3 linked regions of the Oryctolagus cuniculus genome follow. The protein of the gene in region 3 interacts with the protein of the main gene of each other region in a pairwise test. Links are inferred from orthologs where the notes say so. Each region holds a gene or a part of one and is shown on either strand. Other genes may lie near its edges.

Region 1 (9,932 bases), on a different chromosome or scaffold from region 3:
GCATCCGACCTCTGCTCTGCACAGTAGGGCCTCCCCGTCTCACTGCCAGCAGGGTACCCTCCTGCTCTGAACCCTGAATCCCTTTCCAGTCTGCGTCTTTCACCTGGATGCCCACCTCTGCCCTGTCTCCTAGCTTCTCCTTCTCACCAGTATTAACTGCATTTCCCTCCTGCCTTGCTAACCGGCATGGAAAGTTCTGGAGGGAAGAGACCCAAGTCTTTGGTTTATTTTGCTGTCTTTGATGTTGAACACACAATAGCAGCAGTAACACAAGCCAGCAGCCTGCCGGCAAGGGGAGTTCTGCCAATCCAGCGACAAAGGCAAATCTCTGATAAAGCACTAAGTTACTCCTCGCTGCCCCCACCTGCTGGGCGCGCGGTGAGGCCTCGGGGAGTTCCTGCAGGAGAGGAATGGCAATCACTTCTGGAACTGCCCCTGCTACCTTGCAGGCTGTTTGTGAACCCTGCCCCTGTTGGGATGAGTCCCACCGGAGGCCTTGGGGAAAACGATGATTCCTGCTGCTGTCTTCTCCACTTCTGACTTTCTAGTTTTAAACCACACTGTGCGTTGCCCTGTCCAGGCCCTATGCTCTAACCATGGGCGCCCCAGGGTTTGGCTGACCCTGCTCCACCTGGCTCCTCCCCATCACTGCAGTGTCCTGCATGTGCCCTGTGCGCCCCCTGCTGGGCTACCTTGGCCCAGCAGCCAAGGGTTGTATGAGCTCCGGGAGCACTGTGCCCATGGCGTCGATCTTAGAGTGCCAGACAAAAACAGGGGTGGCACCACACTGAGGCCTCCCCACCATGTCCAGATGTGGCCATTCTGATGGCTGAGATGCCAATGGTGGTTTTCTTGCTGTCTCTCCTGTTTTGGAGTAAAGCAGGTGAGCTACACTGTAAGAATGCACGTGTCCCTCATGAAGCTATTCCCTCTGATGGATTAAAAATGCCGCACATCAACATCTTCATTCTCCCCTTTCTTGCTCCCTGGGTAAAAGCCCCCTCTATGTGCCTCCTTGGTCTCCGTCTCTCCTCTCTCACCCACCCGCCCCCCACTCTCATTCATTCATTCATTCATTCATTCTCTCCTTCTGTCCTTTAAGATCCAGTAGGCACCGGTCAACTTCAAGTGCACAGAGCATGCGCTGGGGACTCACCCAGAGGGTGGCGGGAGCTCGGCGGGCTCCTGGGGAGGCCATGCCGCCGCTGTCCACTGCCTGCAGGCTGCAGCTCGGGGGCTCGTCTTCCACCTGCTGCTCACTTCGGCTCTTCTGCTTTCGAATGATCTGGGCAGGGGTGTGAAAAGAGCGGGACAAGTTATTGGACCAGGCTCCACAAACTGCGTGGACAGGGTCCCAGAGACAAGTACCTGGGACTACTTTTGGGATTTTTCTTTTTTTTTTAAATCTAATCAAGGAGCTTGGTTGCCATAGAATGCCAGCCTGTCTCCGAGCTGCCTTACGATGAGACAGCACGGTGGTAGCCTTGAACATTCTTCAGCTCTTTACAGTTGGCAAATACAGTCATCCCTGGGGGTCCATGAGGATGGTTTCCAAGACCCCTTTGCAGAACCCAACCTCTGAGGATGCTCCGCCCCTTTTATATATAATGGTGCAGTATGTTCACAGAGCCTCAGCACCACATCCCATTTCCTTTATACTCTCTCTGGACTACTTACGGCACCCACTACCGTCTGCAAAGAGTGACAGAAAACAGTCTGTGTGTGCTCAGTACAGACCAGGCATCGTAGGTCCAGCTACACAGAGCATGAACCGCAGGCCAGCAGGTGCTGGAGGCAGGCGGAGGAGCTGTAGAACCGTAGAGGCTGTCGCATGGTGAGCTTACACCTCGCTTCATCTGTACCGATTCAGCCCCCTGCCTGGCCTGTGGCAAATTCACAGTCTGCTTTGTGGAAAGTTCCAGAATTGTTTTTTCAAGTCTGTTTTTAAAGACTTATTTATTTATTAGACCAGAGTGGGGAGAGAGGACAGAGATAGAGATTGATTTCTTCCATATACTGGCTCATTCCCCAAATGGCCACAGCAGCCAGGGTTGATCCAAGCTCAAGTCAGGAGCCTGAAACTCCATCTGGGTCTCCCATGTGGATGCAAGAGCCCAAGCACTTGGGTCATCTTCCACTGCCTTCCCAGGTGCATTAGCAGGGAGCTGGATTACACGTGGAGTAGACAGGACTTGAACTGGTAATCCCATCTGGGATGCTGGCATTGCAAAAGGTAGCTTAACTCATTGTACCACAATGCTGGCCCCTCAAATATTTTGGATCTACAGTTGGTTCAATTGAGGGATGCCAAGCCCACAGACATGGAGGGCTCAGCGCAAGTCTTCGGCGTAACTGTGTCAGAGGCCTACAATACAGTAGGTTCTGTGCTTGGTACTGTATATGCTTTACCTCATTCAGAGTGTTTCTAAGAGAAATATGCCCTAATTCACCCCATTTTACAGATGAGCAAATAGGCTCAGAGAGACGAGGCGAGCAGCCAGGGTCACACAACCCACGCACGCTGTGGCTGGGTCTCAGGGGTCCCAGCCTGCAGTCTGGCCGTGAATCCTGCCTCGAGGGTGTGGCCCCCTGCGGAGGAGGGGCCAGACACGCAGTCACCAGGACGGCTTCCGCTTCCACTCAGCCGGACCACTCGCTGTGCAGGACAGCCATTCGGACGTCACAGGGACATCTGTGCAAAGGCCTCCAGGCTCTGGGCTTCCCACATGTGGGACGCAGCTGAAAAAGAAAAATGTCCTGGCCCAGGCACAGGCAGGAAAGCAGAGGCCCAGGCGGCCAGGCTGCACCCACCTTCTGCAGGATGGTTGTGGCCAACTCCTCCGTTAGTTCCTCCTTGTGGTCCCGCAGGTAACTGGCCTCGTTCTGCTTGTCCTGAGGATCAAGAGAAGGGCTGAGTGCTGAGGGGGGTTGGGGGGACCTGGCAATCACTCTTCTGGGAGCAGAGGAGGTGGGCACTGCTCCCGTGGGGGCTGCTGTAACACCGATTTCCTGACAATCCACTTTCTCCTGGCAGCCAGCGACTGCCCCCACTCCCCAGCCACCACCACCCACAGGGCCCAAGGGGAGGCCCTACCAGGCTGTCCCCGTAGGATTCTGCTTTGGAGATGGCTTCCTCAATGGCTTCTTCAGCCACCCTCAGGGCGACAGCCAAGGTGTCCATCATGCTGTGTCCTGCACGGGAAACAGAACACAGAGTAAGGTCTACAAGGGAAGCAGGCACACACCGACTGGTCCACCTGCAGCTCCTCCGCCCCAGTCCTTCAGGGGCTCCAGGGTGAGAGGCACACTGCTCAGGGGGGCGCACAGAGCTCCCTGCTGTCCCACCTACCCGCTCTGTCCCCACGCATCATTCACACCGTGTGCACTGTAGAGTTATTCAGGAATCCTGAGAGCTACCGGCTCTCTTGGCATGACTCCGTCACCGTGGGCCCATGGTCTCCTGCTCCTGGTTCTGGGGACCCTAAAGCTCAACCCAGGGTTCCTCCTTGATCCCTTCAATCACCCCAGTGCCTTGATGTCCATCCAGGGTCCTGGGTTTGCTTCCTCTGGAGCCGGACAGACTCCACCCCCTGTCCCCCTCCCATAGGTCATTCTCAGCAGGATCTGGCTGCGTCCATTGTTGCATCCTGACACTAAGGACAGATCCGAGCACACACGGTGGCTTAACAAAGTAACAGCTTAAGGGTCCAATACAAGGAAACAATGGTTCTTTATCCAATTTGTCAGACAGACATTATTTTTGTTTTCACATAATGTGTCCTTGTGATGACAGGGATACAAGTTATTAAATGTCCTAAGAATACTGGGCTGTGATACTGGTTAAAAGCAAATACAAGGGGCCGGCGCTGGGTATAGTAGGCTCAGCCTTTGCAGGCAGCACCAGCATCCTATATGGGCAGCAGTACGAGTCCTGGCTGCTCCTCTTCTGATCCAGCTCTCTGCTGTGGCCTAGGAAAGCAGTGAAGGATGGCCCAAGTCCTTGGGTCCCTGCACCTGTGTGGAGACCTAGAAGAAACTCCTGGCTTCAAATCAGCCCAGCTGTGGCCATTGTGGTCATCTGGGGAGTGAACCAGTGGATGGAAGATCTCTCTATATATTTATTTTGAAAGGCAGAGTTACATATAAATAAATCTTAAAAAATAAGTAAAAAAAAATACTGGAAAGAGCATGAAGAAAAGGGAGCTTTTTTTTTTTTTTTTTTTTTTTAAATAATGATCTATTTATTTCAAAGACAGAGAGAGAGAGGAGAATGATCCTCCATCCACTGATTCATTCCCCAAATGGCTGCAATAGCTAAAGCTGGGCTGATCTGAAGCCAGGAGCCAGGAGCTTCCTCCAAAGTCTCCCATATGGGTTCAGGGGCCCAAGGACCTGGGTCATTTTCTACTGCTTTCCCAGGCCATAGAAGAGATCCGGAGCAGAAGTGGAGCAGCCAGGACTCAAACCGGCGGCCATGTGGGATGCTGGCACTGCAGGCGGTGACTCCCTCTACACCACAGCGTCAGCCTGGAAAAGGGAACTCTTTATGCACTACTGGTGGGACTTTAAGTTAGCATAGCCATTGTGGAGAACAGTAGGAGGCTGCTTCAAAACAAAACAACACAACGGGGCTGGTGCTGTGGCTCAGTGGGTTAAGCCGTCATCTGCAGTGCTGGCATCCAATATGGCCACCGGTTCCAGTCTCAGCTGCTCCACTTCCGATCCAGCTCCTTGTTAACGGTAGGGAAAGTAGTGGAAGCTGGCCGAAGTGCTTGGGCCCCTGGACCTACGTGGGTGACCTGTAAGAGGCTGCTGGCTCCAGGCTGTAGCCTGCCCTAGTCCCGGCCATTGCAGCCAACTAAGGAATGAACCACTGGATGGAAGATTCTCTGTCTCTTTCTCTGCCTTTCAAGTTAAAAAATTAAAAAAGACAAAGAACAGGAGCAAGCCAGTGGATGAAGATCCTCTGTCTCTTCCTCTCTCCCTCTCTCTCTGTAACTTGGCCTTTCAAATTAAAAACCAGATCTAACATAGGATTCAGTTATCCAAGATTTGAGTAGCATCCAAAGGAAAGGAAATAAGCATAGTGAATCGATACCTCTACTCCCATTGTTTATTGCTGCACTATCACAATGGCTAAGATGTGGAATTAATGTCTATGCTTATCAATGGATGAGTGGATAAAGAAACTGTGGTGTGCACACACAGTGACGTATTACACAACCACAAAAGGAACGTATGTGATCACTTGCAGCAGCACGGATAGGTGGCAGGACAGTGAGCTGAGTGAAGTAGCTAAGACACAGAAAGAAAAATAGTGATACATGGATGCAAAAAAAAAAAAAGTGAATGTGAATATAAAGTAGTGGCTGCTAGAAAGTAGGAAAGATGGTGGGACATGGAGGAGAGCGAAGGTTGCCCAATGGGTACCCAGTTACATGGAAGGAGTAGGATCTAGTATTCTACGTATCGCAGGCAGACATAGTTCACGGGAAGCTACTCCATGGTTTATGAATGAGTAGAAGAGAGGAGTGTACAAGCATAAAGTAACAGTAAGGAGATGGAAACGTTAACTATCCTGATTGATCACTACATATTCATATATATATATGCTCATCAAGAATTTTTAAATAATGTTCAAGGAAGTGGAAATGCAGGGCAGGAGAGGATGGCTGTGTCAAGTTTGGAAGATAAAAAAGGAATCTGTACTTCCTTTGCCTTTTTGTTCTATCTGGACCCTCAAGAATTGCTGGTATCTACCCACATGGGTAAGAGCAGATATTCTTAACTAACTCAGACACTAATCTCCTCTAGAAACACCCTCACAGACACACCCACAAATCGTTCTTTACTAGCCATTGGGCATCCTTTAGGGCAGTCAAGTTGACACATAAGATTAAGCATCCCAACACCCAGAGCAAGAACTGTTGGAGACACGGGTGAGTAATCTAGAAGGCACGGCTTGCCAACGTCAAGCTTTTTAGAGAAGGAGTTAAAGTGCTTCAGCAGTTTTTCTTTGAAATTAGAAGTCTGTTTTGCTTTTAACCACTGCTCTAAGGGGACTATTTTATTGGTATAAAAAAAAAAAAACAAGTTGGCCTTGCGCTGTGCCGTAGTAGGCTAAGCTTATGTACATAGCGTCAGCATCCAATATGGGTGCTGGTTCATGTCCCAGCTGTTCCTCTTCTGATCCAGCTCTCTGCTGTGGCCTGGGAAAGCAGAAGATGACCCAAGTCCTTGGGCCCCTGCACCCACATGGGAGACCTGGAAGAAGCTCCTGGCTTCAGATCAGCCCAGTTCCAGCCATTGTGGCCATGTGAGGAGTGAACCAGCAGATGGAAGACCTTTCACTCTCTCTCCCTCTCTGTAACTCTATCTCACAAATAAATAAATAAAATCCTTATTATAAAAAAGTTAACCAATAAATGGATTAATTATTTCTAGGAATATTTTAGAAGAAGATGCACAAATCAGAGGACTGATTATTAAGTTTCAATGCCAGTTGATCATCAAAGAGTTGGGTACTGAATAGTTTTCCAGGCCACATTGTGTGTGTGTGGTGTGTGTGTGTGTGTGTGTGTGTGTATTTGCATCCAGGAGTAAGAAGGGATCTGGGAGACTCTGAAGGTTTTTTTTTTTTTCCTCCAACTTCCCAGTAGCTATCAACTCCAGCAACCTTACCTTCCGACTGCCTATAAAACGTCGAGTCACTTCCTGAAACGCTTCCTTCAGTCTCCAGATTTGACTCAAACAATCCTCCTCCTAGAATGAGAGGGAGACAGAGAGAATAAAAGGTTTATAGGGGACATCATTGCACTGGCAAATCACCAGTACTCACTTGGATTATGTTAGCCTTGCAAGTGGATTTAGAGAATCACTGGGGCCACCACAATAAGGCTGTCATCTTGTACATATTTCCTCCCTCTCACAATAATTCCTGGTGAAGCATTCTGTCTCCTGTAACTCTCTTCCAGTACCTTCTGCTGTGACATGAATGTTTATTGCCTCCCAAACTCATGCTGAACGCTAATTCCCTAGGCAACAATGCTGGGAGGTGGAAACCAACATCAGGTGATTAAGTCTTGAGAGCTCTGCTCCACGAATGTATTAATGTGTTTTCTCTGGAGTGGGCTAGTTATTAGGAGAGTGAGCTTGAAACAAAAGTGGCCCCTTCTTGCTCTCTCGGCCTCTTGTCTATGCTCTCCTGTCCTTCTGCCTAGGGATAACGTGGCAAGACGACCTTGGCCATGCTCTTGGACCTTCTAGCCCTTAGAACTCAAGAGCCCAATAAACTTCTACTGTTTATAAACGACCCAATCTCAAGATGTTCTGGTCCAGCAATACAAAATGGTCTAAGATACCTTCTTTGGAGGTAACAGAGAGGTCAAAGAAAGAGAGAGTGTGAGATCAGTTCCTTGACAGGCATCTTTCTAATTGTGTGACTCTGAGCAAGTTTCCTTATCTAACACTCAGTTTCCAGAAAAACAGGAGTCATACGGCATAGTTCTCAGTACAGTTAAAATGTTCAGTGGGGAAGACTGATCTAGCCAGTGAGGATGCAATCAAGGGGCTGCCAGCAGGTTAGAGAACAGAGCTTAGCAAGTGGCTTGCACAGGCATGGGCAATGGGAGAACAGGTCGCATCCAAGGATTTATAGAAGAGGCAATGAGGGGTCCCAGAGAGGGATCAGATTTGTGCCTCCACAGGTGTGTCATGGCTACTGTGTAGAGAAGAGCTTGGAAGGAGAAGGGGGAGATGGGGAGTGAGGGGGGACAGGACATGAAAGCTCCAAGTGCCGCCCACTCTCTGGAGTTGGCTTGTGCTGAGATGGGCAGAGCAATGAGTGGAGAAACATGCAATTTAGGAATTGGGAGAGACTCGGGTGTGCTTAGAAACCACCAGGAAGGATCTGTTTAAGACACGGGTTGGATAGGCAAGACAGAGTGACCTTGAGACCTTCCTGGAAGGTGACAGGAATTATATGCAAAGAACGAGAGGAGGGGCAGTAGACAGAGTAGGGGGATGGTGCCCCAACTGCAGCCTCAGGTAGCCTGTCTGACATGTGCAGAGGAAGGCGAGGTACTCCACTGAGAAAACGAGGAAACTGCAGAATTTGAGGAGAGATTATATTAAAATGTGTGTGAGCTTGCCACAGGACTGGGCTCATCAGGGGACAAGCTCCTGTTTTTCAAGACTTGAAATCAAGACTGTCTACACAATGTCTGGCCCTCTGTTTCTCTTTAAATGCATAGGTGGGAGCATCCGTGTCATTTAGGACGATGTGATTCTCTCCAAGGGCAGACAGCAATTGTTAGGGAGCACAATGAGTCAGCAGCCAGAGGACGCTGAGTCACTGCTTCTCATGACTTGGACGAACCTCTGATTTCATGTAATCCAGCTCTCTCAAAAGTTCACATGCGTCAATCAAATCCCAGATGAAAGATGCAAGAGACCTTTCCAATAATCATGTCAAAAATAGACACAGCACTAATATGTGCAGCAGGGTTTGCTTTCCCCATCGTATTTATCCAATATGAAATAGAAGCACATACTATTTTTCCAATGGTTTCAAGACTAAGTATGTTAATAACGGCTACTTTTAGATTTTCATGTAGTGCTTCTTTTTAGGATAACTTAAAAATGTCATGCTGGCTCCATTAGATGGGCATGGAATTACTCAATGCCATTGGACACTATGTTACTTATAAATGTGGTTACTTAGGAATCTGATTTCTTTACTGGAATGCTGGCTTTGCGATGGCAGGGGGTAGCCCAGCACCTCCTCAACTTTTTTACACAGGTGGTGTTCAAAAACTGTTTACTAAAGAAATGGACAAATCTGAGACCTATCTGGAAAAACAATGAGTCTCCTTTTTTAGGCCTAATCTAGCACCTGATATGGGCCAAGGGAGAAGAGTGAGGCTAGCTTGGGAGGGACAGATGGCAGGACAAGGTGTGCACGTTAAAACATTGTCTGGTGATTGTGGATTTAGGCTTGGGTATCATCTCATAAATTGATGCCTATCTGCTTGTTTTCATGTTTATCAAAAGGAAACCGTGGTTTACATGGAGATACCATCATACTGAAGCAACTGATTATAATATGCACTTTTAGAAAATGTCTTTGAATTCACAAGGTGCGTTTCAGATGGAACTACTGCAGTAGTGAGAAGGTATGATGTGCCAGGCACGGATCCTTGTTTCGGGAACACAGAGATGGAGAAGCTACCTCCTGCACATCAGGGACTGGCTGGAGATGTGGCCTTGTGAGGCATCACCTGGATGCAGCGTGGTATGTGCTGCTACTGAGGCTCAGATTAAACAAGTGTGAGTCACAGGGACTCAGCACCTCAGTCAACTTCAACCGTGGCAGGTGCTTGGCCCCAGCAACTGGTTCTCCTTTGAAAAGGACACTTGTACATGTCAAAGCCCTGCACCAGCCCACTTGGGATTCTTGTCCACCTCTACCTGTGGGGCCCTAGGAAGAAAGGGAGAGAAATCAGTATAGTGCTTGGCTCTATAGGATCCTCCACACATTTGCTTTCTCCCTCAATGTGCATCAAGTGGTAGAAGATGCCTCTAAGATTTGAATTTGGGGATATATTTAACTTTTATTTAGTAAATATAAATTTTCAAAGTACAGTTTATGGATTACAATGGCTTCCCCCCCCCATAATTTCCTTCCCACTCGCACCCCTCCCATCTCCCGCTCCCTCTCCCATTCCATTCACATCAAGACTCATCTTCAATTATCTTTATATATGGAAGATCGATTTAGTATATATTAAGTAAAGATTTTAACAGTTTGCACCCACACAGAAAGTGTAAAATACTGTTTCAGTACTAGTTATAGCATTACTTCACATTGGACAACACATTAAGGAAAGATCCCACATGAGGAGTAAGTACACAGTGACTCCTGTTGTTGACTT
Region 2 (9,932 bases), on a different chromosome or scaffold from region 3:
AAGGACTGTGTGCCTGCCTCAGCGTGCAACGTCCAGAACACGCAAACCCCAGGGACAGGAAGGAGCCTGGGGACTGCCGGGCCTCGGGGAGGGGAGGGAGAGGAGGGAGGACAGTGAGTGCCAGGGTTTCCTTTGGGGGGGGGAGCACTTTGGACCTCAGTAGGAGTGAGGGCTGAGGCTCCGGTGCCAGGGACGGCCGAGGGAGAGCCAGTGCCGCTCCCTGTGAGGGAGAGACCCAGAAACCACGCGTGGGGAGCAGGAGGGGAACGGGGCTGAGGCAGGGAGAGGGGCAGAGGCAGAGCCTGGAGCCCCTGAGAGCCACAGTCAGCCAGAGAAGCCCGCACTGAGGGTAGCTCCGTCCTGTACAGAGCGTCCCCGCCTGAAGTGGCCGGACAGTCTCCGTCCCTTTCCGCCAGCGCCTGCTGGGTGCCCTGCCTCTGCCTCATCTCCCTTGGCCCTGCACTAGCCACGGGGTAAGGAAGCCTTACTTACTCACTGCAGACCGGGAGCCACGAGCCACGGGGGCCAATGAGGTTCATTTGCACACCCCAGGAATGGGACCTTGGCCTTCGGGCAGATGCACCTGAATCACCCAGGCCCCGCCCTACTGGGACGCCACGGAGGGGCCCTTACCTGATGGCGTAGGCAGAGGTGGAGGAGAGGATGAGGGTGCTGACCATGTGCTGCAGCAGGTGCATCTCCTGCCGGGGAGGAGGACCAAAGAGAAGCCGGCTCCTTAGCTCCCCAAGCCCGCGCTGCCCCACCCGCGAGGGCGACCCCTGAGCTTGGGAAGGGTGCAGCGGGAGGTCGGCAGTCAGGGGAGAGCCAGTGGAGGGGCTGGGAAACGCCTGCCCGTGAATGTTCCCCAGGATGGCGTCGCTGAACCGTGGCCCTGTGGCCACACTGCTTGCTCTCCTACGTCCACATTAGTGCCCGGGGCGGGGGGTGAAAAGCATTCTCGAGAATGAGCGAGAAAGAGAAGGATGGAGAAAGGTGGGGAATTTTGTACATGCACACACACACACTTCCAGGTAGGATTTCGAAAATGAACAGCAAAATAAAGTTATCTTTTCATTCCATTTTTTTCCACACACACATGTACACATTTACTTTTGCAAACAGAAACCCAGAATGGATTATCAGAAAGTAAGGAAATGGGCTGGCACTGTGGTGTAGCGGGTGAAGCCACCATCTGCAGTGCCGGCATCCCATATGGGCACTGGTTCGAGTTCCGGCTGCTCCACCTCTGATCCAGCTCTCTGCTGTGGCCTGGGAAAGCAGTAGAAGATGGCCCAAGTGCTGGGGCCCTGCACCCGCGTGGGAGACCTGGAAGATGCTGCTGGCTCCTGGCCTCAGATCAGCTCAGCTCTGGCCGTTGCGGCCATTTGAGGAGTGAACCAGCGGATGGAAGACCTCTCTCTCTGCCTCTGCCTCTCTCAGTCTGTAACTCTGCCTCTCCAGTAAATAAATAAATAAATAAATAAATAAATAAATAAATAAATAAATAAAAGTTAAAAAGGAGGCAACAGGGCTGGGGGAGATGGAGGAGGCTCCAGGTCTGCGTAGGGACAGCTGTGATTCGGGAGCCTTGCTAACGTTCACAGAGGACAAAGGCAACTAAATCAGTAGAGAGAGAAACGGAAAGCCAGTGCAGAGGGAAGCGGGGGCCAGTGAAGGGCAGAGCTGCAGCGGGGCCAGGGCAGCGGGGACGGCGGGGCTGGAGCAGCAGGGCCCGGGCAGCAGGGACGGCGGGGCCAGAGCAGCGGGGATGGCAGGGACAGGGCAGCGGGGCCAGGGCAGCAGGGACGGCTGGGACAGGGCAGCGGGGAAGGCTGGGACGGGGCAGCGGGGCCAGGGCAGCGGGGACGGCGGGGCTGGAGCAGCGGGGATGGTAGGGACAGGGCAGCAGGGACAGCTGGGACGGGGCAGCGGGGCTGGGGCAGTGAGGCGGTCACTCTGCTCCATCTGCAGACACCCCTCCCCTTGGGCACCAAGCATGACCCACATGAGCCTCGAGCCCTGAGCTCTTCCTTGCCCCAGGCTTGGGGGTGTGGGGCGGGCGGAGCTGCAACGATTCTGCACGTGTCGGGTGACTGAGCCAGGGTCCCCACTGTGGGAAGGAGATAGCTGAAACTGGGAACGTTCTAGAAAAAAAAATAGTGATGCTGGACTGGATCACAGGCACTGACATAAACTCGTTTTAAAATACACATGTTGCCAGCGCCACGGCTCACTGGGCTAATCCTCTGCCTAGCGACGCCAGCACCCCGGGTTCTAGTCCCTGTCGGGGCGCCGGAGTCTGTCCCGGTTGCCCCTCTTCCAGTCCAGCTCTCTGCTGTGGCCCGGGAGTGCAGTGGAGGATGGCCCAAGTGCTTAGGCCCTGCACCCCATGGGAGACCAGGAGGAGGAACCTGGGTCCTGGCTTCAGATCAGCGCAGTGCGCCAGCGGCGGTCATTGGAGGGTGAACCAACGGCAAAAGAAAGACCTTTCTCTCTGTCTCTTTCTCTCACTGTCCACTCTGCCTGTCAAAAAAAAAAAAAATACACATGTGGGCCGGCACTGTAGTGTACCACGTTAAGCCACTACCTGCAGCGCCAGCATCCGGTTGAGTCTGGCTGCAGTACTTCTGATCCAGCTCTCTGCTACGGCCTAGGAAAGCAATGGAAGGTGGCCCAAGTGCTTGAGCCCCTGCCACCCACCTGGGAGACCTGGAGGAAGCGCCTGGCTCCTGGCTTCGTTCAGTCTGGCACAGTGCTGGCTTTGTGGCCATTTGGGAAATGAACCAGAGAATGGAAGAGCTCTCTCTCACTGTGGGTGTCTCTCCCCCTCTCTCTGTAACTCTGACTTTTGAAATAAATAAATAAATGTTTTAGGTCAATAAATAAAACGTGCATGTGGTTTCTCAGGGCTTTGAGAGAAGCCAAGAGCAATGAGGGCACCTGTGTCCTGGTTTCCCGACACCTGCTCCTCACTGGACAGAAACCAGGAGTCCCTGGGAACTGGGACAGCGCAGGTCCCGCCTGCCTAGCCTGTCCTCCCGGTGCCCCAGAGGAAGGAAGGGCTCACAGGAGTGACAGGGACAGTCTGCACGTCAAGGTGGGTAGCCACACTCAGGGCTGCCTGTTACCCGAGACTGCAGTGGGAAGGGGGGTGGGGAGGCTCCCGCCCATGCACACACCCCCAGGCGGACAAACAACAGGGTTAGGGAACCAGCTGCGCAGCAAGGCCCGTGCCCGAACACTGCAGGCCACGTATTCACCAGGCCACAGGGACGGGGATCAGAGCTGCCCGCCTCGGGCGCCCCCTCCCCCCGTGCCCGCACTGCTGAGGCTGCCACACAGAGCGGACAGGACCCACGGGGCGGGACGTCGTCCAGCCACGGCCGGCGTCCTGGAAGCCTCCGAAACGTCAAGGTCAGGGGACAAAGCCGCGGGAAGCCGGCGGCTCCAGGTGCACCCATGTGCTGGGGCCCTGGCCTGGAATGGCAAAGGGCAGCGCTGGGACCACCGAACAGAGGCCGCCTGGAACGCTCTCCCGCGTTCAGGTCCCACCTCGCAGAGCTGCGAGGCGTCCATGGGAAACCCGCACCGAACGCATCAGCCCCGCCAGGCGCCGCCAAACAGCTCCACAGTCACAGTGATAGGCTTCCTCTGGCGAAAACACCATCACTCATACACACAGGGGGAGAGAGAGAGGAAGGGCGGGAGGATGGGCTGGCTCTTCAGTGGGCCCCAGAGGCCAGGCAGGTGCCTGGAGCCTGGCTCTGCTCTCTGCCAGTCTGCCCCTGCCCGCGCCGGGCGCCTCCCACACTTCCGCCCTTGCAGCCCCGGGCGCACAGCCGCAGGCAGGACCTGGGGAGGAGTCCGCTGACCTTCCGTAGCCTGTGGTCCACCTCCAGGTAGCGGTTCCTCTCGATGCGCAGCAGGTCCAGCTCCTCCCGCAGGGCCGCGTTCCGCACCAGCTGGATGTCAAAGTGGCAGGTGACCTGGGGGAGGGGGGGGCGGGGGGAGGCAGACGCGAGAGTGTGGCTGGCGCCTGGCCCAGCTGGGTCCCCAGCAGCCCGCTTCCCCGGGGCCCTCCCTCCGCGAAGCCGCCCCTCACCCTGTCCAGCTGGTCCTCCAGGATCTTGATCCGCCGCTGCATCCTCACCTTCTGCTCCAGGACGACCCCCGGGCCCATGACGTCCTTACTTTGGGTGAAGATCCGGGTCTCCCACTCCTGGATCTGGAAAGAAAGAGGCTGGTTCCTGTCTGTCACAGCCAGTGTGGGCGAGAGGGAGTGCCCGGCCGTGGCTGCCGTCTTCTGTCCAGGTGGCCCAGCTGACAGTTCCCAGTGACTCTCTGTGTGGCTCTGGTGAGGCTAACATGCTGCCCTGACCGTGGCCAACCTCGGGGACTGGCCTGGAGATAGACACGAGCCCAGAGCTTGGCCAGCCTGCCTCCTTTCCCGGTGTTTGGGGGGAAACGCCTGAGATGGGAGGTTGAGGTCCCAGGACGCCTGCTGACGTAGCCCCTGCCACCGCCACCAACAGAGAGGATCCTGGGAGAAGGAGGCTGGCAGGCACAAGTAGGTAGTGAGGCAGGGCCGGACCCCAAGAGGTCACTGAGTTAAAGTGAGATCATGGGGCCGGCGCTGTGGTGCAGTGGGTAAAGCCACCGCCCGGGACACCAGCACCCCATACAGGCGCTGGTTCGAGTCCCGGCTGCTCCACTTCTGATCCAGCTCCCTGCTAATACGCTAAGCAGTGGTAGATGGCCCATGTGCTTGGGCCCCTGCCCCCACCGTGGGAGACCCCGATGGAGTTTCTGGTCTCTGTCTTCAACCTGGCCCAGTCCAGCCGTTGTGGCCACTTGGGGAGTGAACCAGCAGACGGAAGCTTGCTCTCTCTCTCTCTCCCCCTCTCCCTCTCTCCCTCTCTCCCTCTCTCCCTCTCTCTCTGTCATTCTGCCTCTCAAATAAATAGATAAATCCTTAAAAATAATAACAAAATATAATGAGATCACTGGGCAGGGGCCTAATCAAATGTGACTGCTGTTTCATCAGGAAGGTATTTGGGACACAGAGGTGCACACAGGGAGACGGCCATGTGGAGACCAAGGCAGCAATGGGGCCGACGCTTCTGCGTGGCAGGGGGCACCAGACACCAGGGGCGGAGCCTGGAGCAGACCTGCAGACTCCCTGGCCTTGCACTTCAGACCTCCAGACTGTGGGACGATGCCTTGCTGTTGGATGCCCCCACCCACCCCAGTTTGTGTGCCTTGTTAGAGACCTCAGTGAAATAGCATAAGGAGACTTCAGAGAGTCTGCAAGTGGAATTAAAAGGTGAGTTTATTTTGATGCCAAAAATAATTCAAATCCATGTATAGGTTTTTATTAAAGATGATTGATTGATTGATTGGAAATGCAGCATTAGAGAGAGAGAGAGAGGAAGAAAAAGATTTTCCACCTGCTGGTTCACTCCCCAGATGGCCACAATGGCCAGAGTTGGACCCGTCGGAAGCCAGGAGCAGTTGTCTCCCACGTGGATGCAGGGGGCTAAACACTTGGGCCATCCATTCAGAGAGTGGGATCGGAAGTGGAGCAGCTGGGATTCAAACCTGCACCCATATGGGATGCCAGCACTGCAGGCCGCGGCTTTACCCGCTGCACCACAGCACCAGCCCCATGCATAGCTTTTTCGTAATACACATTTCCATGAACTCGTGGAAGACACCAACATACCTCCAGACATCACACCAAACACCACAGGGATATTTTCGATTTTTGAGGATACTGATTTTTGTCCAGACACCACATAAACTGCTAGCTTAGGGGCCAGCACTGTGGTGCAGCGGGTTAAAGCCCAGGCCTGCAACGCCGGCATCAGTTCAAGTCCCGGCTGCTCCACTTCTGTCCCAGCTCTCTATTATGGCCTGGGAAAGCAGTGGAAGATGGCCCAAGTCCTTGGGCCCCTGCACCTGCGTGGGAGACCCAGAAGCTCCTGGCTCCTGGCTTTGGGTTGGCTCAGCTCTGGCCAATCTGGGGAATGACCCAGCAGATAGAAGACCTCTCTCTCTCTCTCTCTCTCTCTCTCTCTCTCTCTCTCTGGTTCTACCTCTATCTGTAACTCTGTCTTTCAAATAAATAAAATAAATTAAAAAAAAAAAACCTCTAGCTTAAGGTGGTTCCCAAAGTAGTGGTATCTACCATCAGATTCCACTACATTCCTTTCTGTGGTGTCACGTCTGTGAAACTGGGTGTTCAGCAGTTGCTGTGATAAAAATCAAGTCCTCAGACGCCGGCACTGGAGCAGACCAGGTTAAACCACTGCAGGCCATGCTGTAGCCCACACCCGAGTGTCAGCTGGAGTCCCAGCTGCTCCGTTTCCAATCCGGCTTCCCAATAATGCACCTGGGAGAGCAGCAGATGATGGCTCAATTTCTTGGGCCCTGGATGGAATTCCTGACTCCTGGCTTCAGCTTGGTCCAACCCGGGCTGTTATGGGCATTTGGGGGAGTGAAGCAGTGGGTGGAAGCTCTCTCTCTAAGGGAGCTCTTTGCATTATTGTTTCATAAAAAAAAATTGTTTTATTCGAAAGGAAAAGTCACAGAGAGAGGAGAGACAAAGATCTTTCATTTCTCACTGCTGTATACTGTTGGATCACAAATACACCACATCGATGGACTCATTCAAATTCTGATGGGTGTCAGGGCTGGGATGAAGATGCACCTGCCAGCACTCTGCCTCACGCTGGCCACAGGCCGGCCCCGGGCCGATGCTCAGAACCGGAACTTCTCGGTGGGAGGGGTACAGCAGATCTAAACTGTGGAAAGACCACTCTGGCTTGCTGCCAGCACTGTTTCCATGGAAACACACTGGGCTGGGGTGAATTCAGAATGTCAGCTGCGTTTCCAGGCAACGTTTATCATGCAAACAACGTGATTGGGTACAGAGCACCTGCAGCCCCGCTGTGAGCGGCCCGAGGAGGGTGTGCTGACACTGTCTCCCTGCCTTCTCTCCCTCTGCAGAAAGAAGTGACCTGGTGCCAAGCTGTAGCCTGCCGGGTCCCACCAGTGTGCCAGGATGACCCCGAGAGCCCTTGATGGTGACCACGCAGACACGACGCAGCCCTGGTCAGAGGTGGTGGGTAGGTCTGTCTCCAGATTTAACAGAGTGGGGGCGGGGGTGGGTGAGGAGGCAAGGGCTTTTCAGAACACGTGTGACCACTTGCACCCCCCACCAGTGCTCCTTCACCTTGGTGCTTTTATTCTCATTGTTGTTTGTTTTTTCTTTTTATTTATTTATTTGAAAGACAGTTACAGAGACAGAGGGAGAGAGAGAGAAATCTTCCATCCACTTATTCATTCCCCAAATGGCTGCAATGGCCAGGCTGAGCCAGGCCGAAGCCAAGAGCCAGGAACTTCTTCCAGGTCTCCCACTGGGGTAGGGCCCAAGGACTCGGGCCGTCCTCCACTGCTCTTCCAGGCACAACAGCAGGGATGCCGGCGCTGCAGGTCACGGCTTAACCTGGTGTGCCACAGCGCCAGCCCCTGTTCTTTGCACTTTTATATAAACTTTGGAATCTGCTTGTCAATTACACTCACCAAAACTTTTTTTTTGCAATCACGTCAAATGCCTAAATTAGTTTGGGACAACTGACAATCTACAACTCTGGCTCTGCCGATCCGTGGATGTGGTACATTGCCACATTAGTTACCGTCTTTAAAATTCTCAGCAATACGTTATAATCGGAGGCCAGTGTGTGGTGCAGTGGGTTAAGCTGCCACCTTCCACACTGGCACATATACGGGCGCCAGCTGGAGTCCTGACTGCTCCACTTCTGATCCAGCTCCCTGTTAATGCACCTGGGAAAGCAGTGGAAGCTGACCCACGTGGTTGGGCCCCTGCACCCACGTGGGAGACGTGCCTGGAGTTCCAGGCTCCAGGCTCCCGGCTTCGGCCTGGCCCAGCCCCAGTTGTCGCAGCCACTTGGAGGGAGCACCAGTGGATGGCAGCCCTCCCACTCTCTCTTTTTCTTCCTCTTTCTCTATAACTGTGCCTTTCAAATAGCTAAAATAAATCTTCAGCAGATACACAAAATGTTATAATGTAACTCCAAGGAGGCCTTGCACACTCTTTATTAGATTTCCTCCTAGGGCTTTCGGCTGGCTGTATGTTTGTCTTATTTTATTTTCTCAAAGTTCCTCTGCCGATACAGGAAGCATAAGAGACTTTGTATATGAATTTTGATGTTAGCACACTGTTAAAGTATCTTGCTAATTCTAATAAATTGGCATTAGTCTTCAGAACCTTCTTTGTACACAGTAGCTTCTATAAATAATCACAGTTTCACTCTTCCTCTCTAATCTTTTAATCTTCTTTTTCCTTTCCCTCACCATGCCCTACTAGGCAGGCCCTCCCACCACTATATGCTGATAGCAATGGTGCCAGCTGACACACTGTCACTCTTGCTAATCTCAAAGAGAACTTGTTTCATGTTTCAATATCAAATATGATGTTTGTTGTAGATGTTTTCTGGTTGCCCTCTTTTTTAAATTTTATTTATTTGAAAGAGAGAGAGACAGAGAAAGAGAGCGAGCGAGCTCCCATCTGCTGCTTCCTTCCCACAAATGTCTGTAACGACCAGGGCTGGGCCAGGCCAAAGCCAGGAGCTGGGAACGCAATCCAGGTCTCCTACGTGGGTGGCAGAGAACCAACCACTTGAGCCGTCGTCTGCACCAGGAGCCAGAGCCGGGTACAGAACCCAGGTCCTCTGAGGCAGGCCCTGAACCAGTGGCCCAAACCCCTGCCCCCAGGCCGCTCTTCATTCCTGTCGGCCAAAAGCCAGGGATGGACATGGACTGCAGCCGTGAAGGGGCTGACGCCGGCGGCTGTGTGTCAGTCTCCGTGCTTCACGGCCGTGAGCGCACACGTGAGTCACACACACGCCAGACTCCCACGGTGACCGTCAGGAGCGCGCGGGGGGGTTCTTTTAAAAGGCAGCCCTTCAACAGACCAGACTTCTCATTTGCGAACATCGCTCTGCTTGGGCCTGGGTCAGGAAAGCCTGAGGGGAGAAATTCAAGCGGCCCACACCTGCAGAGCCGGCACACTGCCAAGAACAGCCCACGTCGGCCATGGGGACGTCAGAATCCACTTTCCCAAAGCCAGCGGGGTGAGACTGGGCGCCAGACAGACTCACAACAGAGGACCAAGTGGTGACAGAGTAACAGCCCCCCAAAGATGCCTACGCCCCCACCCCGGGACCTCTGGCCGGGCTGCTCCTTCAAGCCACCAGGAGAACTGTGTGCAAGGATCTCGGGACGCAGACCCTTCTGCACGGACCCAGCAGGCCCAGGGTAATCCCAGGGGCCAGAGTCGGGGAGGATGAGATGGGGCAGGCGTCCGGGTGACTCCACTGGCCACTGCTGGCTCCGGCTATGCAGGAAGGGGCCCCGAACCAGGGAGTGCAGTGGCCTCGGAGGCTGGGAAGGGCTCTGCACAGCTCGCGGGGCCCACATCCTGACCTGACCCACCTCAGACTTCCGGCCTCCAGACCCCTAAGGTAACCGATTTGTGTGCAGCAGGTGTAACCTGCCACGGTGGAGGTAAGAAAGGATGCAGGGCCCCCAGGACAAGCTGCTGTCCAACCCCTGTCTAGAACAAGGCGAGGATGTGCAGGAACGCACCTGGCCTCGACAGAGTAGAAGGGAGAACCCCAACTGGAAAACGTGCAAGCCCTTAACTGCGTGTTCCCAGCTGCGCGCATCAGGGGTGCATGGAGTACAAGGTCCTGAGGCAGAGGCACGGCGCTGCCGTCATCTTCCCGGGCCGGCACGGCCGCAATTCCAAAGGGCGAACCTTTCTCAAATTCACTAACCCACCCCCCACCCCTGGTGTGGGACCGTGCTAAGCCCCAACCACCCACATTCCCCACGAATACAGCTCCATC
Region 3 (10,032 bases):
AATAAATCTTTTTTAAAAAAGGAGTTTTTAAAATATACAATAAATACACTTTATTGGAAGGCTAAAAGAGAACTTAGATTGCTCTGAAATGTTTAAATTCTTATAAGTAGAATATAATCATTTGTAAGACAGTTAACCAGTAAAATGTACCTTTACTTAACCAACATGTGCCTTCAGTGGTGGGTAGCCCCTGCCTCCTGGTACCCATAGCCTTGCATAAGAGCCTCAAGGGACGGGCTGCTAGCCGTGGGACCCTGAGGGGTGGCACTTCTGTGACGAGGCTGCAGAACACTGGGACTTCTGTCCTACTAGCTGTCACTTGGCCCTTTCACGTGCTTTCAGGAAGCAAGGGGATATGCTGGAAGGGCCCACGCGGCCAGGCACTGCAGCACACGGCTGAGGGCGAACAACGGAGACCTTAGGCTGACACCTAGCCAGCAGCCCTGGGATAGACCGCGACCCTGCAGACCCAACAGCTGTGCTCCGGCGCCCAGCACATGTCACATGTGTGTGTGACATCACACATGTGGACTGTTTTAAGTGCTCCCTAAGTTTGAGGGTAAGTTGTTATGCAGCCGTAGATAATATACTTTCTTTATCAAAATAATGATTTTTTTTTTTTTTGAGAAGAGGCCAGACCAGCTATGGTGAAAGCTGGCTGGCCTCGGGGTCTGGGGGCTCCAAGCAAGGCTGGGGCCAGCAATGGCCTTGGACCTGGAAGATCTCAGACTTGGGAGCTGAGAGTTCTGCAAGCATGGGGGAAAATTAGAAATTATTAAACCATATGCACTAGCATAAAATAGGAGCGTAAAATAGGAGATACACTCTCTGGTTCCTACCTCAGTCTCCCCCAGTCCAGGACCCTTCAGGGCAGTGGGGACTCCAGGCTATGATTGAATAGCAGTGTTGTGTATGTGATGGTGGGAGGCCGGGTGGGCAGAGTCACACACCTTACAATCTATTCGGCCCCAAGGCGACTTAGGACAAGGACAACCTCATGCAGAGCTCTCTCAGGCAGGGCCAAGGCACCCTCATCAGACTGGGAAGCTGCTGAGACACCGCCATCAGATCGCCAGGCCCAGGAGGCTGAACTCCTCCCCAGTGTCTCTCCTGACCACCGCCCCCTACCTCCCAGCACAGGCCCCTGCCCAAAGGGAGGTCGGTGAAGAAGAGGACACCAGACAACAGAACAGAGAAACACACTTGTGAAGTTCCACTCTTGGCCCCAGTTTATTCATCCTGGGTTAGGCCAGGCAGCAGGTTCACACTCAGCATGCGGGAGCTACAGACACCAAGAGCCCAGGGTCCACATTTCACGCCCTCTCCCTGTACCTTTCCCCCACCCACTCCTCGGGATGGAACTCTTTTGAGATGGACAGCAAGATCCTCTATGCACGGCAGACATGGAGACTGAGGGCCAGTGGTGCCACGGCTGGTCCAACGGTGTAGCCTCACCCACAGCAACCTCAGATTCTCTCGGCTCCCAGGAGCAGAGCCGAGAGTTCAGCTACCTCAGTCGTTGGTCCTGCCCAAGACATGACCACTCAACAGCTCTCGGAGCCTCTGCTGGAGCCTGTCCCTGTTGAAAGGCCATCCAAGAGCTGCCCGAGGCTGGGCTGATGCTGCCTCCTGCCCACAGTCTCGCCCTGCAGAAAGGGACCAACCCAATTAACAGGCAAAACTGCGAAAGCCAGAGACGCACAGCAAGGCACAGGCACAGAGGGGGCAGGGAGAGGTTTTTCCCCGACTGCCTTGGAACACCCACCTATTTCTTGCAAGCTTGTGAGCGCACGTTCCTTCTCGGCAGAAACTTAAGTCAATGCTTCGGTCGGTTAGGGACCTGCTATGTTAGAATTTCCACTCTCCTGTTCCTCAAAGGGCTCTGCCACTGTCATTTCCCTATCACCATGTCCAGTGTGTCCAATGGCAGAGCCCAAGAGGAATAGTCCCCAACCTTCCCTGGCACCTCCTGCCATGAGCTGCACCTTCCCGCTCCCAATTTCCTTCCCTCAAGCCAATTCTCCACCAACTGCTCTGAAAAACTGTAGATAACATGCTATGGCAGGGGGCTGGTGTTGTGGCGTGGCGGGTCAAGCTGTTGCCTGCAATGCTAGCATCCCATACGGGCGCCGGTTCAAGTCCCAACTGCTCCACTTCTGATCCAGCTCCCTGCAAATGCACCTGGGAAAGCATCAGAAAAACGGCGCAAGTCCCTGGGGCCCTGCAGCCACATGGGAGACCCAGAAGAAGCTCCTGGCTCCAGACAGGTGACTTAGGACAAGGACAATCTCATGCAGGGCTCTCTCAGGCAGGGCCAAGACACCCTCATCAGACTGGGAAGCTGCTGAGAGACCACCATCAGATCGCCAGGCCCAGGAGGCTGAACTTGCCTTATGGCCATTTGGTGAATGATTCAGTGCACGGGAGACCTCTCTCTCTTTCTGTAACACTGCCTTTCAAATAAATAAATAAATATTGTTACAAAATGCTGTGGTAGGCCAGAACAGCCTCTAAACCCCTCACAGCAAAGCCAGCATCAAGGACAGTGAGCGAGAAGAGCAAGGTATAGGATAAGTGAGGGGAAGAGATGAAGAGAAATGGTCTGGAAAATTCTAGGAGAATGGATCAGCCACAGATAGATGACAGCAGGGTACATCCTTCAACTGACAGCAGGCCAGCCATTTTTCATTGGGGGACAGTGAGACCCAGAGGAAAACAAAGGCTGGTGTAGGCCACGGGTAACACAGGATGTGTGCAGATGAAATCAGTAGGCACCTGCTCACCAGTCTGTCTGCAAATACATATGCACCCCGACATATAGGCCTGCACACACAGGGGTTCACTCACACACACCTAGCACATGCCTACACATTCACACACACACACACACATCTTGTGCATAAACATCCTCACTTATGCACATACACACGCTGTTGGGTACCTGTCCACACTTGCATATACAAATTCACTCCATTACATACATGCTACATACATGTTCATTCTTACATACTCACATGTAACAGCACACTCAAGCTCATTCACACATACCTGCACACACCCGTTTTTATGTTAGCACATACACACTCATTCATTATGCTTACCCGCACTCAAGCTAGCAAATAATCATATACTTATTTGTGCACAGCCACACACATGCCTGCAAACATACACATATATACCCTCGCACACTTGTGGGGGCACAGCCTTAGCCCTGGTCCTGGGGCCTAGATGGTGCTGCCTTCTGCTGGAAACGCCGGATAAGCTCCTTGCGATTGTCTAAGATGGTATCGAAGCTGTCCTGCAGCCGGGCCTGCTGGTCAACCAGCTGGTGCTGCAGGCCCCGGATCCACTGGAGCAGTGCCAGGCGCCGGTACATCACCAGGTGCACATGGTGCTTCTCCTTCTCCCGCTCTTTATAGCGCTCCTGAGCCTGCAGCTGTTGCACAGCCTGGGCCACGGAGGGCAGAAGAGGATCCGGGGGGCCCAGGCCTCGAGGGGTCCCACAGGCAGACTCAGGACTGCTGCTGCGGCTGTCGATACTCAGGGAGCTGCTGGTATAGCCGTTGTCCTCCAGAGGGGAGCAGAGTGTGCTGGTGCCCCCCATCTTCTCAGGCTCAACCCCGGGAATCTCTGCTCCCTCCGGGGGGCTGCGGACGCCCTCCTCGGGGGCTCTGGGAGCCTGGTTGTTGGAGGGCTGCTCGGGGGAGCTCCTCCTCAGGACGGGCTCCACGGTGCCTGGCATCCCGTGCCAGTTCTCATTGGCGTCCCTGGGATTTGCCATGAAGTTGGAGTTGCTGTCTGGTTGGGGCTGGCATACTCCGGGGGGCGGGCCCCCCAGGAACGGGCCCCCCTCAGCTAGCCCTGGCTCCATGGCGAACATCTGGTCTGCAAAGGGGAAGCAGAAGAGTCACACAGGACAGAGCCACAGCAGCCTGGCCACAGGGCAGCAGGCACACGCCTGGCAGCTCCTTGTCATCCCCTCCCCTTGGCTGGGCTCGCACTGCCCCTGCTGGTCCCCACCTCCCTCACTGCTCCTTTGCAGTAGCCTGCACAGCGTGTTTTTCAGCGCTCCGAGGCAGGCTGCCTTTTCGTTCTACACGCTTCTCCCCAGATGACCCGGCTGTGGGCTGCAGCTTTGGGAATCATCATATGCTGGTAACTCTCCAATCTGTCTCCAGCCCAGATCCAACTGTTACCCAGCCCTGCAGCCACCCACAGGCCCCTGGAAATCTCCCAGTCCCAGCCAGCTCCCATCTTCGTGTCCTCAGCAAGACGGCTCTGCTCCCTGTTCAGCCACCCCAGCCAGAGCCCGGAAGCATCCTGGAATAAGCATTTTCCTTCCGTCCCTCATCTCTTATCAATCACCAAATTCAGACAATTCTTCCTCTTCAATTTCGTTTGGCTCAGGCCATTTTTTACCTGGACTAGTGCCACAGCCTTTTCACTAATCTCTCTTCCTGTGGCTAAACATGTAAATTTGGGGGCTCAACGTGGTTGCACAGCAGGTGAAGCTGTTGTGGCAATGCTGGCATCCCATATCAGAAAGCTGGTTCAAGTCCCAGCTGCTCTACTTCCAATCCAGTTTCCTGTTAATGCATCTGGGAAGGCCGTGGAAGATGGCCCAAGTACTTGGGCCCCTACCACTCACATAGGGACCAGGATGGAGTTCCTGGCTCCAGGCTTCAGCTTGGCCCAGCCCTGGCTGTTGCAGCCATTTGGAGAGTGAACTAGTAGACAGAAGATTGGTATTTCTCTCTTCTCTCTGTCACTGACTTTTTTTTTTTTTTTTTTTTTTGGACAGGCAGAGTGGACAGTGAGAGAGAGAGACAGAGAGAAAGGTCTTCCTTTTGCCGTTGGTTCACCCTCCAATGGCCGCCACGGCCGGCGCACCGCACTGATCTGATGGCAGGAGCCAGGTGCTTCTCCTGGTCTTCCATGGGGTGCAGGGCCCAAGCACCTGGGCCATCCTCCACTGCACTCCCTGGCCACAGCAGAGAGCTGGCCTGGAAGAGGGGCAACCGGGACAGAATCCGGCGCCCCGACCGGGACTAGAACCCGGTGTGCCGGCACCGCAGGCAGAGGATTAGCCTAGTGAGCCGCGGCGCCGGCCATGTCACTGCCTTTCAAATAAATAAATGAATTTTTTAAAAAAGATTTATTTAATTATTTGAAAGGCAGAGTTAGAGAGAGAGAGAGAGAGAGACACCTTCCATCCGCTGGTTCACTCCCCAGATGGCTGCAATGGCCGGAGCTGTGGCAATCTGAAGCCAGGAGCCAGGAGCTTCTTCCAGGTCACCCATGAGGGTGCAGGGGCCCAAGGCCTTGGGCCATCTTCCACTGCTTTCCCAGGCCACAGCAGAGAGCTGGATTGGAAGTGGAGCAGCCGGGTCTCAAACCAGCGCCCATATGGGATGCTGGCACTGCAGGCGGTGGCTTTACCCGCTATGCCACAATGCCAGCCCCATAAATAAATGAATTTTAAAATGCAAATTTAAAAATTGAGTGAGTACTGTTCCTGAACTCCTCTTAAAGATCTACATGGCCTAATGGCCCTGAGCACCCGCACCCTGCCTCCCATCACATCCGACTGCTCCAGGAGCTCAAGATCCACTATTGTTGCGCTCCACTATGGCTCTGGCCTGCAGTGCCTGCCTCTCCCTTCCCCTCTAAGCTCCTCCCTCTCCACCCGGCAAATGCTCTGAGGCCTGCCTGAGAATCCCCCCTCCATCTGCCCCGCCCTTAATAAATGTAAACACAGTTCCTCATGCCTTCCTCCAGCTCCCCCCATCACGCTCCTGGAGCAAGCACTGAGGTGCCACGCCCGATGCGCCATCCCTCTTCCCCCACCACCTGCATCCTGGCCCTAGTTTGCCCCATCCGGAGTTCCAGGAGGGAGTGCAAAGGGCATCCCTCTTCCTAGCAGGGCTTCCACCAAAATCCCGGTCTGAACTGAGAAGAGGTTTCTCCCGACCACGACCACACACTTACTCCCAGGACAGGGAAACCGGAGGGTCACTAAGGGGTACAAGGTAAGGGCAGCAGGCCCCAGGGGGACCCCTAAGGTGGCACAGGCTCTTCCCACAGTTGGGAGAGGGCAGAAGGCCTGGAAGGATCCAGTGGGAACGATTCCCGCGGTGACCTGCGGACCCCCAGGCCTCCCACCAAAGTGTGCACTTAGGTGCCTGGAGCCTCCCCCGAGTCTTTTTCCTAAGCAGGCTGGAATGGGCTGGTGGTGGCGCTGAGGATCCTGGGTTCTCAGCGATAGTAAAATGGGGATCAGACCCCGGCCCCACCCCCAGTTAATCCGCAATTTGCCAGGGCCGGGAGCAGCGGCGGCCGCCCTTCCTTCCTGGCGCTGCCGGAGACGTCCCCCGGGGAATAGGGCAGAGGCCGTCCCCGCAGAGCTCCGCGGAGGGGCCGCTGGGCGCGGGCTGCAGCCCCCAGCCCCCGGCCCCCGCGGCGGGGCCCCCAGTCCTCCCCCTCGGCCCGGACTCACGGCCTGGAGGCGCCCGCTCCGGCGCAGCTGGCTCTGGTTCCGGCGCGCCCCGCTCGGCCTGGGGGTGTCTCGCCCGGGCTTTCCCGCGGCCCGGGCCCGGACTGCGGCTGCTGGCGGCGTCTGCGCGGCGGGGCGGGGTTGGGGCGGCCCACGTGGGCCGGTTCGGTTCTGCGTGGGAGCCTTGCGCGGGGCCCCTGCGCCGCAGCCGCCTCCCCCGCGCCGGCTGCTCAAGGCCAGGCCTTCCAGGTCTGGCTGTCGCCTAACGGCGCTCGCTGGGCCCCTCCTTCCTCGAGGCTGTGGCACGCACCGCAGCCTCTGCCTGAAATGTTGTCTCCTGGCTAGGCTTCCCCACATTTCAGATCTGAGAAACCTTCTGTGATCCCCGAGACAAGACTGGTCCCCCGCTTTGTATCATCTCAGAGCACTTATGTTCCTTTGATCAAAATCTGGAATTTTATATTAATTGTGTGCACATCTGATTCATCATTAATGAAAGCTACTTTAAAAAATTATTTAGGGGCCTCAGCGGCCATTTGGGGAGTGAACCAACGGAAGGAAGACCTTTCTGTCTCTCACTATCATTCTGTCAAATAAATTAAAAAAAAATTTAAAAAGTGCACGCCCCATATAAAAAATTATTTATGTATTTGAAAGGCAGAGTTCCAGAGAGGGAGAGAAGAGATCCAGCCCCCAAATGGCCGTGGCCACAATGGTGGAGCCAGGAGCCTGAAACTCTATTTGGGTCTGCCACTTGAGTGGCAGGGGTCCAAGCCCTTGGGACGTCCTTTGCTGCTTTCCCAGGTACATTAGCAGGGAGCCTGATTTGAAGTGGAGCAGCAGGGACTCCGCCAGCCTTCCTATGGATCTTGGCATTGCAGGCCTGGGCTTACCCCACTGCGCCACAAAGCCAGACTGAAGGCTACTTTTTTTTTTTTTTTTTTTTTTTTTTTTTAATATGCTGTGGCGTATTGGGTAAAGCCACCGCCTGCAATGCCGGCATCCCATATAGGTGTTGGTTCGAGTCTCCGCTGCTCCACTTCTGATCTAGCTCTCTGCTATGACCTGGGAAAGCAGTAGAAGATAGCCCAAGTCCTGGGCCCCTGTACCCACGTGGGAGACCCGGAGGAAGCTCCTGGCTCCTGGCTTCAGATCTGTGCAGCTCTGGCCATTGCAGCAACTTGGGGAATGAAGCAGGAATGAAAGACACACACACACTCTCTCTCTCTCTCTGCCTCTCCTTCTCTCTCTGTGTAACTCTAACTTTCAAATAAATAAATAAATCTTTAAAAAAAAAATAGAAAGAGTCCCCTGGGACAGAGCTCAGGTTGCAGAGAATTCCTGCTAGGCACAGACGCCCTCCGTGGCGCCTGCACAGTGGGTTCCTGTGCAGTTGCCCATGTGCACAGATGTAACTGGATAAGAAAGTCCTCGGTCCCAAGCTGGAGTAGCTTGTCAGAGTTCCACTCACTGACCCTGATCCCTGTCACTCCCTTCCTCCTTGTAGTACGTGTGTAGAGAGCTCAGTTTGCAATTAGAGAACAGAGTCATTTCTGACCCTATGAAGCATCCTCTTCCGGTTCCCACGTGATTCTGACTCACCATTCTACAACCTGGAGACCCGATGGCACATCGCACCACACCAACAAACCTACATGCAAAAGCAGGGGAACTGGAGAGAAAAAATTATGATCACAACAACTGCGATTTTAAAACAGAATAGGGGATAGAAGGCAAAAGTCAAAGTTTGGGTAACAGCTAAGAGAATATAGGTGGTGACTTCAGCCCCATTCATACCCAGGCCCTAAGGCCATGTCTCCTCCCCTTTCCCTCCCCTTTCCCCTTCCCCTCCCTTTCCCCTTTCCCTCTCCTACTGCAAGATCCCCTTGCCGGGCTGGCACTATAGTGTAGTCGGTAAAGCCACTTCTGGTGCCAGCTTCCCATATGGGTGCCGGCTCGAGTCCCAGCTGCTCCACTTCCAATCCTGCTCTGTGCTATGGCCTGGGAAAGCAGTAGAAGATGGCATAGGTCCTTGGGTCCCTGCACCTGCGCGGGAGACCCGGAAGAAGCTCCTGGCTCCTGGCTTCGGATCCGCCCAGCTTGCACTGATTCAGCCATTTAGGGAATGAGCCAGCAGATGGAAGACCTTTTTCTCCCTCTCTTTCTCTGCCACTCCTTCTCTCTGTGTGTAACTCTTTCAAATAAATAAATAGAAGATCCCCTTGCCATCAGCCATCAGTTTTCTTCCTTATGAAGTGACCCAGACCCAAACTCCTCAAGGCTCTGAGCTCTTGGTCATGAAGTCATCCGATTGTTTGGTCTGCGCAGAATAGCCTCTCCCCACCTCTCCTTGGGCTCTGACCCCCCAGCTCTAACCACGTGAGTTAAACAAGAGCTTCATAAGTTCAAGAAGAAGCACGCAACAATGCTGGCCCCGTAAAATAAATAAATAAATCTTTTTTTTTTTTTTTTTAAAGAGTCCTCTCGGGATGCTGTCTGGTTTCAGCCCCGACTCCTACACTTCCAATCCAGTTTCTTGCCCTGGGAGGCAGCAGTTGATAGCTCAAGTACTTGGGTCCCTGCCACTCCCAAGAGAGACCCCAGTGGAATTCCTGGCTCTTGGCTTTTGCCTGGCCCAGCCCTGGCTGTTGTGGGCACTTGAGGAGTGAACCAGCAGATAGAAGACATCTCTCAGTCACTCTGAATTTCAAATAAAAAATACATATTCTTTTCTAAAAAGACAAATAATTATATGTTGATCATTGTCTTAAAGCCTGCAGGGGGGTGGGTATTTGGTCTGGTGGGCTGGGCTGCCTGAGATCACATTGGAATGCCTGGGTTTGGTACTGGTTCCAGCTTCTGACTCAAGTTTCCTGCTGATGTGTGCTGGGAGGCAGTGGTGATGGCTCTAGTAGTTGGGTCCCTGTCACTCACATGGGAGAACTGAATTTGGTTCCTGGCTCTTAGCTTTGGCCTGACCCAGCCTTGAGCCATTGTGAGCATTTGGGCAAGTGAACTGGCAGATGGGAGATCTCTCTCTCTCTCTCTCTCAAATTAAAAAAAAAAAAAAAATAGTTTAAAGCCTAGGCAAGCAGTATTCCAACCTGACATAGCTGAGTCATCAATTCCATTGTGTTCTGTAAATCTAGTTGCATCTAAATAACATAATACCTGATAAGTGAATTCCAAGATCTCCAGACTGTAACCTCTCTTTTCTAAATCAAGGACAGCGTTATGTGGGATACTCTACCACTGCATAATGAACACAGCCAACGCATGGGCAGTGGTCCTGGGCCACTCCATAATTTTCAGAAAGCAGGGAGCCTGGAGAAGAAAAGGCCCAGCAAGGTAGGGCTGTCTGCCTGAAGACAGAGAAGTAGATGCAGAGATGTCTGTTACTCATTCACCAGCCAGGACACCAGGGAACCAGTTTCCCCAAGTGAAGGGGTAACTATGGCTATACCACATATGCCAGAGACTTAACTGGAAGGGACACAGACATCACCAAGGATGGCCAAGCAGGACCAGCCTGCATCGGG

Evidence for each region.
Region 1: the proteins of C7H1orf216 (region 3) and MYRIP interact in binary tests that used the Homo sapiens proteins (3 or more experiments, as listed by UniProt). The two-hybrid records come from large-scale screens. The link is inferred for Oryctolagus cuniculus from reciprocal best matches to the Homo sapiens genes C1orf216 and MYRIP.
Region 2: the proteins of C7H1orf216 (region 3) and ODAD1 interact in binary tests that used the Homo sapiens proteins (3 or more experiments, as listed by UniProt). The two-hybrid records come from large-scale screens. The link is inferred for Oryctolagus cuniculus from reciprocal best matches to the Homo sapiens genes C1orf216 and ODAD1.

Annotation. Positions count from the first base shown.
Region 1 is NC_091441.1:107,434,828-107,444,759, forward strand, and holds part of MYRIP (rab effector MyRIP), read right to left. Parts: intron 6,763-9,932; coding exon 6,682-6,762; intron 3,193-6,681; coding exon 3,095-3,192; intron 2,893-3,094; coding exon 2,812-2,892; intron 1,286-2,811; coding exon 1,157-1,285; intron 1-1,156. UniProt on the Homo sapiens protein: Rab effector protein involved in melanosome transport. Serves as link between melanosome-bound RAB27A and the motor proteins MYO5A and MYO7A. May link RAB27A-containing vesicles to actin filaments. Functions as a protein kinase A-anchoring protein (AKAP).
Region 2 is NC_091449.1:8,688,540-8,698,471, reverse strand, and holds part of ODAD1 (outer dynein arm-docking complex subunit 1), read right to left. Parts: intron 4,226-9,932; coding exon 4,103-4,225; intron 3,987-4,102; coding exon 3,873-3,986; intron 702-3,872; coding exon 634-701; intron 1-633. UniProt on the Homo sapiens protein: Component of the outer dynein arm-docking complex (ODA-DC) that mediates outer dynein arms (ODA) binding onto the doublet microtubule. Involved in mediating assembly of both ODAs and their axonemal docking complex onto ciliary microtubules.
Region 3 is NC_091438.1:136,911,003-136,921,034, reverse strand, and holds C7H1orf216 (UPF0500 protein C1orf216 homolog), read right to left. Parts: upstream 6,748-10,032; 5' UTR 6,497-6,747; intron 3,886-6,496; 5' UTR 3,881-3,885; coding exon 3,206-3,880; 3' UTR 1,212-3,205; downstream 1-1,211.